Linked DNA regions of Canis lupus familiaris. The protein of the gene in region 1 interacts with the protein of each later gene in a biochemical or structural test. Links are inferred from orthologs where the notes say so. Each region holds a gene or a part of one and is shown on either strand. Other genes may lie near its edges.

Region 1 (5,859 bases):
GAGCCCTCCAGGACTTGGTGAGTTTGCAAGCTAGGAGGATGGACGGGCAGGATGCGGAGGTGGAGATGAGACAAGAAAGGTAATCCCCTGCCCCAACTCATTTCTTCCTTCTGAACAGCCCCTTTTCAGTTTAGGTTTCACCTCTGTACCCTTAGAGCCAGGCTGAATATGGATTTCTTCAAAGCACATCCCATCATCCCTATTCACAAAGATCCATGGCACAGTCAGGCAGCTCAACTATACCCCTCTCCCTTCTATGTAAAGAAAACTGGATTCTGCAGATGCCTATCTTTTCTCTCATCGAGATGAGAGAATGTTGGATGCTGGTCTGTCATGGAGAAAATTCACGATGCTTTAAAGACACACACAGAGAAATAATATCCTTTATGCAAACGTCAGGACATCACAAATAAATGAAACAGTGTTACCTATTGTACAGGCTAAGTGGTAACCCACCCAATATACTTTAGAAGTAGCAAACTCAAATTGGAAAAAAGGAAGAGACAAATTAACATATTACACTTAGCACCATATCAACGACTGCAGGGAAGCTCCATTACCACCACCATCAAAACAAAGGAGGAGGATTACTGTAATGAATATCTGGAATCTTGGCAAAGAGCGTAAAGTCTGTTTAGAAATTGGCCATAGCCACATGGTTAGGTCAAAGCTTACCTCATCACTACTCCATCGGTTGGGGAACGAGGGACGTAGCTTTTTGATGCAAACGATCTCTCTCATGTCCTCATAAGAAGGATCACTGGGCACTAGGTCATGATAGGGAAGCTGGTATTCTTCGACTATACCTGAAAATAGGGGTTGTTTTTAAATTATTATTACTATCGATATTTTCTGTGAGGTGGAAATAAAAGTCTAATACACAAACTATTCTCAAAGAAAAGTTCTATCAGTACTCAAGCTCAGGCTAGGAAACTGCAAAATAAAGTCTTGAAAAAAAATATGCCCAAATGTCACTTAATCTAATTAAAAATATAAATAGAAAACCTGATGAAACATATTATTACAGGTTTTCAAACCTTTTTTCTAATTTCCCAAAGCTAAGTAAAACAAGTATCTCAAATTTATTTCCAATTTTATAAAACGTGTTGTATGCCAAATTTTAAAAAAAAATCTACATTAAATCTCAATGCAAATTTGGCAGACACATCCCAAACTCATACTGCATAATATGTGACTGTTTCTATTACTGCAATATGAGATTATGAATCTCATAATAAATTTGGCAGTGTATCCTACTTGAACAAAATGTGAGATTTACATTTTTTCCTGCTTAATCATAAGAATGCATCTTTCCACATTTAAAATTTTAAAATTTTACACACCTAAAAATATTAACTATGATTTTTTTAGGTGCAAGAGCTGTCTGACTTTTACCATTTTCTTCATTAAATTTTCTGTATTTCACCAAACTTTCTACAAATAATACATTATTATTAGAAAAAATAGTTTTTTTTTAAAAAAAAGATTTTATTTATTTAATCATGAGAGACACAGAGAGGCAGAGACACAGGCAGAGGGAGAAGCAGTTTCCATGCAGGGTGCCCGATGTGGGACTCGATCCCGGGACCCCAGGTCACACCCTGAGCCGAAGGCAGACGCTCAACAGCTAAGCCACACAGGCATCCCCCCCACCCCAAAAAAATAGGTATTGTTGAAAGAAAGGTTGAGATACAAGTCTATGTCATCTTAGGAAAATGGCCCTTATCATGACAAACTCCATCTCATTTTCCCTAGTATCTATTCTACCTTATTCCTTTTGTCCTTTGGAAAAGTAGCCTGCTTAGATCTTCTTTGCAACCCTATCTGATTTACTCCTCACAATAATTTTTTTTTTAATTTTTTTATTTATTCATGATAGGCACACAGTGAGAGAGAGAGAGGCAGAGACACAGGCAGAGGGAGAAGCAGGCTCCATGCACCGGGAGCCCGACATGGGACTCGATCCCGGATCTCCAGGATCGCGCCCTGGGCCAAAGGCAGGCGCCAAACCGCTGCGCCACCCAGGGATCCCTACTCCTCACAATAATTATAAGCAGCATCTGTCCTAATAGAATGCCACTCTGAACAATCTCTCTGGAGCACCTTTCTTCCCTATCCAAAATCATCTATTATAGAAATGTTATTGCTTCTTATCTGAACAAGATGATACTACCAAGTTGGCAGATTTTATCCAGCACATCATTAAATTCGCTGGGGTTTACTCTGACAAAATCTGGAGTCTATATTACACCCTTTCTTGCAAACTCAATCCCATATATAAAGGACCAGAAGGCTGAAAAGTTTCTTCAGACCATTCCCACTCACCATTGTTCTGTCTCTCATGAGACCACAGGGCATAATTATATGTATCTATGTTAATAGTTCCTTCCATTGTGTACCGATTCTATAGGAGATACTAAAGGCACAGGGCCTAACCCATGGGGGATGCTCACTTCATTTGAGTTCTTCCTCCCTTTCTAATTCTCAAGACAACAGCTCTGGAGACACCTGGAGAGCAAGGACCATGTCTAATTTATTCCTCTCATATTTTCCTCAGTGCCTACTGTTGGTGCCATTACCTGGCTAAATTGATATATCATGGTGGGGTGGGTGTATACATTACAACAGACACAGAGCCAATCACATAAAGTTCTGAATTAATCAAAATCTATCACTAAACTATAGACCTTACTTCTTTCTCCTTATTATGCATTAAGTTATCAAAATTCCCATAGTGGCTGCCATTTAATTGTTGTCTGAAACCTCAGGAATCCTTTTTTTTTTTTCCCTCGAAGTTTAGAAGATCTACATCCAGATGTAACTACTTCATCCAAAAGTACCTAGACTAGAAAGACAAGCCCAAAACTTCCAACATCTTCATAAAGGAATATGTTGGAGAATAGAATTTTGTGTATTTTGCCTTTCTGGAAAGAGAAACCACACTTGCTTGTTAGGAGCCTGGTACATACCAGGCAAGGCGGTAAGTGTACTGTACAACTTATCTTACTAAATTCTTATAAACATGTTTCTGAGACAGCATTATTATCCATGTTATCCAGATGAGAATAACCTGGTTCTGAGGGATTCACTCACTTGTCCAAGGCCATACAGTTGGTATGGGGCAGAGCTGGGACTCTAACATCTCTGACAAACACATACCAATCTCATAAGGAGATAAGGCAACACCTTAGTACCTCTCAAATCCTGTGTGTGTGTGTGTGTGTGTGTGTGTGTGTGTGTGTGTGTGTGTGTGTCTGAGGTTGGCTTGTTTTTGAGTGAAGAATCATTTCTCCTGTATTCTGACCTGCAGGCTTTCCAAATATAGGTATCTTGTGGCCCTATTTGCTTTAGGTGTTCAGGAAAACATAATCAGAAAAGTAATCTTGCACTCCACTACTCCTTCAACTGCTATACACTTATCATGAGTGTAAGTGAGCATATTATTCAAAACTAGGCTCATTCCCTCTTGACAAAACATGAAACAAGGCACAATTAGTTAATTTATATCTTGGTTAGCTCTTTTCTTCTTCATAGATGATGGAAGATTTATTCGCTATCTGGTTAGGAAACATTTCTCATGTTAACTTTCCTTTTGGAGTTCTCTCACTTTAGAGGAAATGTGTTCTATTTTAAATTAAGCTTAGAATAGGCTCAGAGTTCCCCAAGTGATTAGAAGGCATTGTGTCATTGCAGCATGATCTGAGTATAAATTCCTGTTGATTAACTGTCTCTCCTCCCTATATAAGTATGAATCTAAATATAAGTTAAGCCTCTACCAACCAAAATGAAAATTTTAAGTAAGAGCTAAGATATACTGAATGCTATTTATGTACCAGGAAGTTTTAATTCTCTTTAATCCACCTCCTTCTTAAGAATTAGAACAAAGCTGAGTAACTTGTCAGAGGTTCATGGATAATAAATGGCAGGTCCAAGAATGCAGTCGCTAAGCTTTCAGAACCTTGGGCAAGCTCAATATTTCACAAAAGTGAGTTTAAACTGGCCATGATAAACAGCAGCAGCAGCAGCAGTGTGGGTTCTAGCCAAGCACTGCCATGAGTATAACCATAAACAGGGTACTTGACGCTGAAGGCCTAAGATTCAGCTTCTCACCTAAAAACTGTTGGCATCTATTTAAAGACAGATGATGCAGCAGTAAACAAATACTATGAGCAATAATAATGCCTCTGAATATTTAATATCTTCTGATGTAGTCTTACTAGGAAATCCTTGTTTGCAAGAAAATTATCATGACCAGTGGTAATATTCTTGATGCTTTCATTTCCTTTTGAAAAAAAAAAAAAAAAAAAACACCTGATGTTTCAAACTACTTGTGAAGAAGAAATACAGAAAGTCAAGTGGAGCAGAGGGTAAAGAATGGGTATCTCACCCCACAATTCTGGCTCTATCTTAATCTGCAGAGAGGAAGCCACAGTGAGTGGGGCATCAGAGCTGGGGATAGGGCCCAGCAGGTTGGTGAGAAGCAGCCAGAAGGAAGCAAAGATAATTCTAAGTTGTTAAATACTGTTTCCTGGGAGGACTGTGATTGCATCAACAGAAATAAGGTAGAAAATAAAAGAAAATCTGATGTTGTGGACACTGATTTCTGATCAGGAAGCAAGGATCTGTAGTAGATCCCACAGTATCATGGTTACTTACCTCCGGATACACATCTCCTAGCGACCTCCCAGAGGATGAGTCCAAAACTATACATGTCGGCCATAATGTAAGACTGAAAGTGATTTCTGTTTAAGCTCTCATCCAACACTTCCGGAGGCATATAGCGTTTGGTGCCAACTCGGGTGTTGGGTGGTATGTCAACTTCATTTGTATCACTGAGGAAAAAGCAAAGCACTATAGGCAATGAAAAGGTTCAACACACGACAAATCGAAGTGATTTCCGAGCCAGGGTTTTAGGTAAAGGGAGGAAGGGATATCTTTTCAGGGAATAACATTTCCCTGCAAAATATCTCTTGCCAACAGTTACATTACGTATGCACGGGTAAAAACCCAGGGAAGAGGGCAAAGGGACTCTGCAACATACAAGGCTGCATTGACACTGGATCAATCGTAAACTCTAAATCATTGCTAGGTACCTATTAAATGTCTATGAAACACCTTCTTCCCCTTCACATTTCAATAGCTTGGCTCTTAAAACTGGCATGAGGACATGCCAAGGTGGTTTGTTTAAGATGGTATTTTTTAAATCAAGTGTTGCAGGGTTTTTTTGATGTATGAGCAAGTTCAAACAATGGGGGAAAAGAGGGCCAACAAAGAGAGGAAAATGTTTTATTTCAATAAGTAGGATCTATAACAAAGCTTTCTCTGAGCACCATTTCATCCACCACATAACATGTATTATTTAATAAGAGGACAAAGGGAATAACTGAAAATAATCCCAGCAGCTACATGAAAGTTTCAGAACATGATCCATTTATTATTCCCCATCTCCTGGGAGAATGTCCGTGACGGGAGGGCCTCAATGTGCAGTGTGGCCCCTGGGGAGCCATGCCTCTGCACAGGCAGCTGCAACCAGAGATCTGCCCAGAGATGCTGATGTAGTGGAGCTACTGTCGCTTAATAGGTTGACAATTAAACAAGATGGTGCGTGTAAAATTGCTGCCAGCACAACGTGGAGCCTCTATTGGAGGTTTCACTAGAATTACCACAAGAGAAGCTAGTGGTACTAAAAAGAGCAGTTAAGTCCCAGTTTTGATGAAGAAACTATCAAACAGAAAAGGGACAAAAAGTCATTATTAACCAAAGTTTGTGGGGAACTATGGAAGAACCTCGCTAGCTCCTGATTCCTAAGAATGTTTTTTCTTTGCATCACACTCCCTGGACTCTCAAGCATTTACATGT
Region 2 (4,545 bases), on another chromosome or scaffold:
GGAGGAAAGGGGGAGGGCACACAGTCTGAGTGGCTCTTTTGTGAAAGCAAGTTCTAGGGCAGGTTGAGGTAGGAGACAAAGCTCCTAGGTACCAAGCCAGACCACAACAGTCAATTTGGTGCCCAGGCCTTCAGCAGGAAGAGCACAGGGGCTGAGATGACAGGAAGCCCTCTGACAGGGCTCAGGCAGGGTGCCACTCCAGTCTGTCAGACTTTCCAAGAAAGTAAGGACACATAGCCCAGAAAATCAGTGGGTGTAGAAGCCAGCCCCACCTGTAACCCCTTCATCCTCTGCCTCTCTACCTTTGAGTTTCCAGCCACCCTGCTTCTACACTGCTCTCCCTGTGTCCGCAGGCCACTGGTTGGCTTCCCCAGCACTGCCTCCAGGCTCACTCTCCTCACTCACACCAGAACTCTGTCTGCTGTGGCAGCTCCTTTGTTTACTGCCAGAGCTCGCAGGGCTGCCACCAGCCAAACACAACGAAGCCTGGCCAGGGAGGGCTAGGCTCCAGGTGCAGACTGGCCCCTAGGGACAGGTAATGGCCTCCAAGCCAGGGAGGCAGCTCAAAGGTAGGCTGCCCCCTGCACTGGGTTCTTGTTTCAGATTCTGACAACCCAGGTTTCAGGCCGAGAGGGAAGGGACACAAGATCTGCCCATAGCTGGGCAGGAATCCCTACTGTTGAAACAGCTTTGGCTAGGAGCCCTGGGAATCAGAGACCCAGCTGGAGAGAGGTGGGGAAAATGTTGAGGCCCCCTGGGTGGGAAGCAGAGGCCTAGACTGCCTTCTCCTGGTCCTCCCTCTCTTCATCCTGAGTCCTTAGAACAAAAACTTAGGTGCCCACATTTCTCTACCAGAGGGCTTCGTTCCCCTCCCGAGCATTCATGCCTCATGCCCCCGCTAAGGAGTCTAGTGGATAAAGGGAAGTGGGCATTTACTCTGGGCCAAACCCCAAGCAGGAAACATTGTCAGGATATGTCTGGCATTTGTCTGTCTAAGGTTAGTGGGGAAGTTACTTATCTAATATATAGTTACGTATTTGTATAATATATAATGTAAAGAGGAGGGACTTATACTCTGTTTCTGGAGCCGGGGTGATGGTTAGGAGGTGATGGATGAGCTGGGAGAGGAGTGGTAAAGGTGCCAAACTGAAGGGTAACAGGGCCACAGACAAGATCACACAAGGAACACTGATCAGTGGCAAAAGGAAGATGCCCCAACAGGAGAGGAGCAGATCCCTGCCAGCCCAGGTTCCCCACTAAAAGGTAGAGAGCCCTCTAAATGGTGGCCATTTGACTCTGTGAGTAGGCAGGGAGGTGGGGCACAGATAGGTAGATGAAGTGGGAATGATTTTAGAGGAAATGAAATCCCCAATTTCCCTCCCATGTAGGGATCCATTTTGGAGGCAACAGTTTGACTCAGGAATGTCAAGAAGAAAACCTAAGTCTGTTGCCAGGCCCCAGAAGAGCAGATGTAGCTCCAGACCAACAGGCCTTTGGAAGGAAGGGAATGGGGTTAGAGGTAACGTTGGCCCTGCTCAGCCTGTACTCTCTGTCCCGTTTTCCTGCAGGCAACCCACCTCCCTTCCCTGGGTCCCTCATTCTTTGAGGGGTCACTGGGTCTCCTGGAGTAAACAAGAAATTTGCCACAGTTTTAGTAACAGTTTTGCTTTTTATCTCATCAATGTACATTTTAATCTAACAGTCTAACAGCCTCATACTCCTTACCCCAGCCCAAGCCCTCACCCCCTCTTGCCCACCCCCGCCCAATCAGCATCACATCTGCCCAGGGGCAGGAAATTGCCAGGCACAACGGTGATTCAAGGAGAGGGTGGCACCTGTGGCTCTTCCAAGAGGAGCCCTCCCCGGAGAGTCCAGAAGCCAAGAAAGCCCCAGGTAAGGAGAGGTTGAGGGCTGAGTCTCTTTGGAAAGCAAGGTCTCCTGGGTCTTAGTCCCATTCAAGTCTGTCTTCCTGGATCAGGGCAGCAGAAGGGCAGAAATCCTCAGACAAGGGGACTTGTGGATAGAAAGGAACCTCAAACCCAGTCCCACTCAGAAATTAAGAGCAAGGCTGTTGGAACCCCTCCTTCCACACAGGCTGTGTAGGTGCTTTTGGCTGCTGCTTCCCAACCTCTTTGCTCCTGGGAGTGTAGGGTAGGGCTCTTGTGACCGGCATCCTGGGATGTGCCCCCCAGGAAGATGGAGGGCCAGTGCTGCTACCTGCAGCCACAAGACTCCACAACCATGTCCTCATATTGCTTATAGACCACGTTGTTGGCGGAGTCAATGAAGAGGATGCTGATGGGACTCAGTCGTGTGGGCACACAGCAGGTTGGTGGTGTGGACTCAGGGTCCATGGAGTTCATCAGGGTCTGGATGACTGCGTGGTTTGTGGGCTCCAGGTGGGAGCGCAAGGGGAACTCACATAGCCCCTCACAGTGGAAGGCCTCGTATTCAAGGGGTGCAATGATCCAGTCATCCCAACCCATGTCTTTGAAGTTGACATGCAGTGCCTTCCGACTGCAGCGGGCCTTGGGGTTCTTGCTGGGCCGTTTGCCCTGGCGCGTGGCCAGTGGGGCCCGCCTTTTTCGCCGCTGGCTGAACAGGTACTCATACACAGTCTTATCATCTTGACCTGATCGGGCCTTAATCTCATTAAAGAACAGGTCCCGTTTCTTGGTGCGGCCAAATACCAGGAACAGGGCCTTCTCGTGGACCTGCCTGGCAGCCCGGTCAAAACCCAGGCCACGGAGGTCCACGGCCCGGCCCCGTTCCCAGGCCTCCAGCTCCAGGCACAGCTGGGCCGAGTTCTTAAAGTTTCGGAAGAGCTTCCAGATGTCGAACACCTCCCAGCCAGATCCGTCCAGGCCTGGCACGGAGCGCACATCCAGCAGGGCTGCCGGCTGCCGGCCGCTGGGGCAGCTGGACAGCTTCAGCTGGGCAGCCCGCCCGATGCTGGGGGCCACTGGCTTGGCCGTGTCCGAGGGCTTCTTCCGCAAGATCCGCAGCTCGGCCCCTAGCAGCCCATCCTTCTCCAGGGCACTAATGTCAAACACGTACCTCTGCTTTCTGACCACAGGACCTCGGTCATCTAGAGAAAACACCCAGAAGTCATTCCCTGCAACCTCACCAAGACAGCCAGTCCCCTCAGGGGAGGGCCATAGCTCTCTCCCCTCTGGAGACAGCTTTCTTTAACCTCTCCCCTACTCTGACAGAGGCCAAGACCCAAACCACTGAGAGCCTTTTTCAACATAGGGGAGCCTTCCTAAACAGCAGACCAAGTAGAGTTGTTTATCCGTAGATGTGGTGTGGTGATTTGAACAATTCCAGGTGTTTTGTCAATGACAATGCATGTCAGAGATGCATCAGCCTTAAAACTGCCTCTAGCTATCCCTCCCCATCTGTTATCTTATATGATATCTCCTTGGAGAGATAGGTGGGGTGGGTATTATAATTAGCTCTATTTTTCCGGAGGAGCAACCTGAGGCTCAGAGAAGTTTGGTGACTTGCCCAAGATCACCCAGCTAGGAAAAAAAGCAGAGTTGAAACTCTAGTCTAGAGCTTTTTATACCCAGTCCTGAGCTGCTCCCACTATACCTCAAGGAAGATCTTGGTGTTCTCGTTTTACAAGTGAGGCATGGAGAGGGGAAGTGACTTGTGTAAGTTAACACAGATAGTTCAAGGTAAAGCTATAATTCAATTTCCCTGGCTTCCTCGTCTAATGAGTTTGTTGTGTACAGGGCTTACCCTGCTGGGTGTATAAGTGTGTGTGTGAATGACAGTTTGTGCGTGTGTGTGCATGTGTGTATGTATGATTGGGCTTACATGTGAATATGAAAGGTTAAGTATAGTGAGTGACGTGTGTATGATTGCACTTGTGTGAATATTTGAAGGATATGTACGTATATGTGTGTATATGTAAGATGATTCTGTGTATACATGTAAGAAGGTGTGTGTTCACGTGTGTACATGTGTGTGTGATTCAGCATGTATGCATAAATATAAGGCTGTATGTGTGTGAGAAACTCTGTAGTGTGTCCGAATCAGCATGCCCTCCTTCCTAAATACCAATTTGCCATTGGGAAGCATTCATACATTGCTCTAGAAGGTGACTAATTAGGCCTTTAAACTCCCCATCTCCCCCTCTGCAAGCTCCCTTAGAGCTGGGGGGCACAAGGACTTATTTTATGAGCCCCCAAGGGGTCACAGCTTTCCCTGGCTGGGCAGGCAGCCAGGCCACCTCCCCCAACCCAGCCAGACCTGCTGCCTTCTGCTTCCTCCCACCCTGTCATTCCCCCACAGGCTAGCTCTAATGAGGAGCCTCTCCCCATCTCTGACCCCTCCCCCACCCTGCCAGCCAAAATCCCAAGACTCCCAGAACCAGAGCATAAGACCTACAAGCAATCCTAGCAATAAGTATCCATCTCCCTCTTCACACTTACAGAGAAACTGAGGCCCTGAGAGGGCAAGGGACTTACTGAGATCACACAGCAAAGCAGAGAGGGGAAAGCCAGAACAGTAACACTAGGTGAGCATAGGGAGAAGAGA

What was found.
Region 2: the proteins of BMPR1B (region 1) and GDF5 interact in a biophysical measurement, tested with the Homo sapiens proteins (3 studies listed by BioGRID and IntAct, with this or other methods). The link is inferred for Canis lupus familiaris from reciprocal best matches to the Homo sapiens genes BMPR1B and GDF5.

What each region holds. Positions count from the first base shown.
Region 1 is NC_049253.1:21,944,807-21,950,665, forward strand, and holds part of BMPR1B (bone morphogenetic protein receptor type-1B), read right to left. Parts: intron 4,833-5,859; coding exon 4,657-4,832; intron 807-4,656; coding exon 676-806; intron 1-675. UniProt on the Homo sapiens protein: On ligand binding, forms a receptor complex consisting of two type II and two type I transmembrane serine/threonine kinases.
Region 2 is NC_049245.1:24,907,136-24,911,680, forward strand, and holds the end of GDF5 (growth/differentiation factor 5), read right to left. Parts: intron 3,089-4,545; coding exon 2,214-3,088; 3' UTR 1,765-2,213; downstream 1-1,764. UniProt on the Homo sapiens protein: Growth factor involved in bone and cartilage formation. During cartilage development regulates differentiation of chondrogenic tissue through two pathways.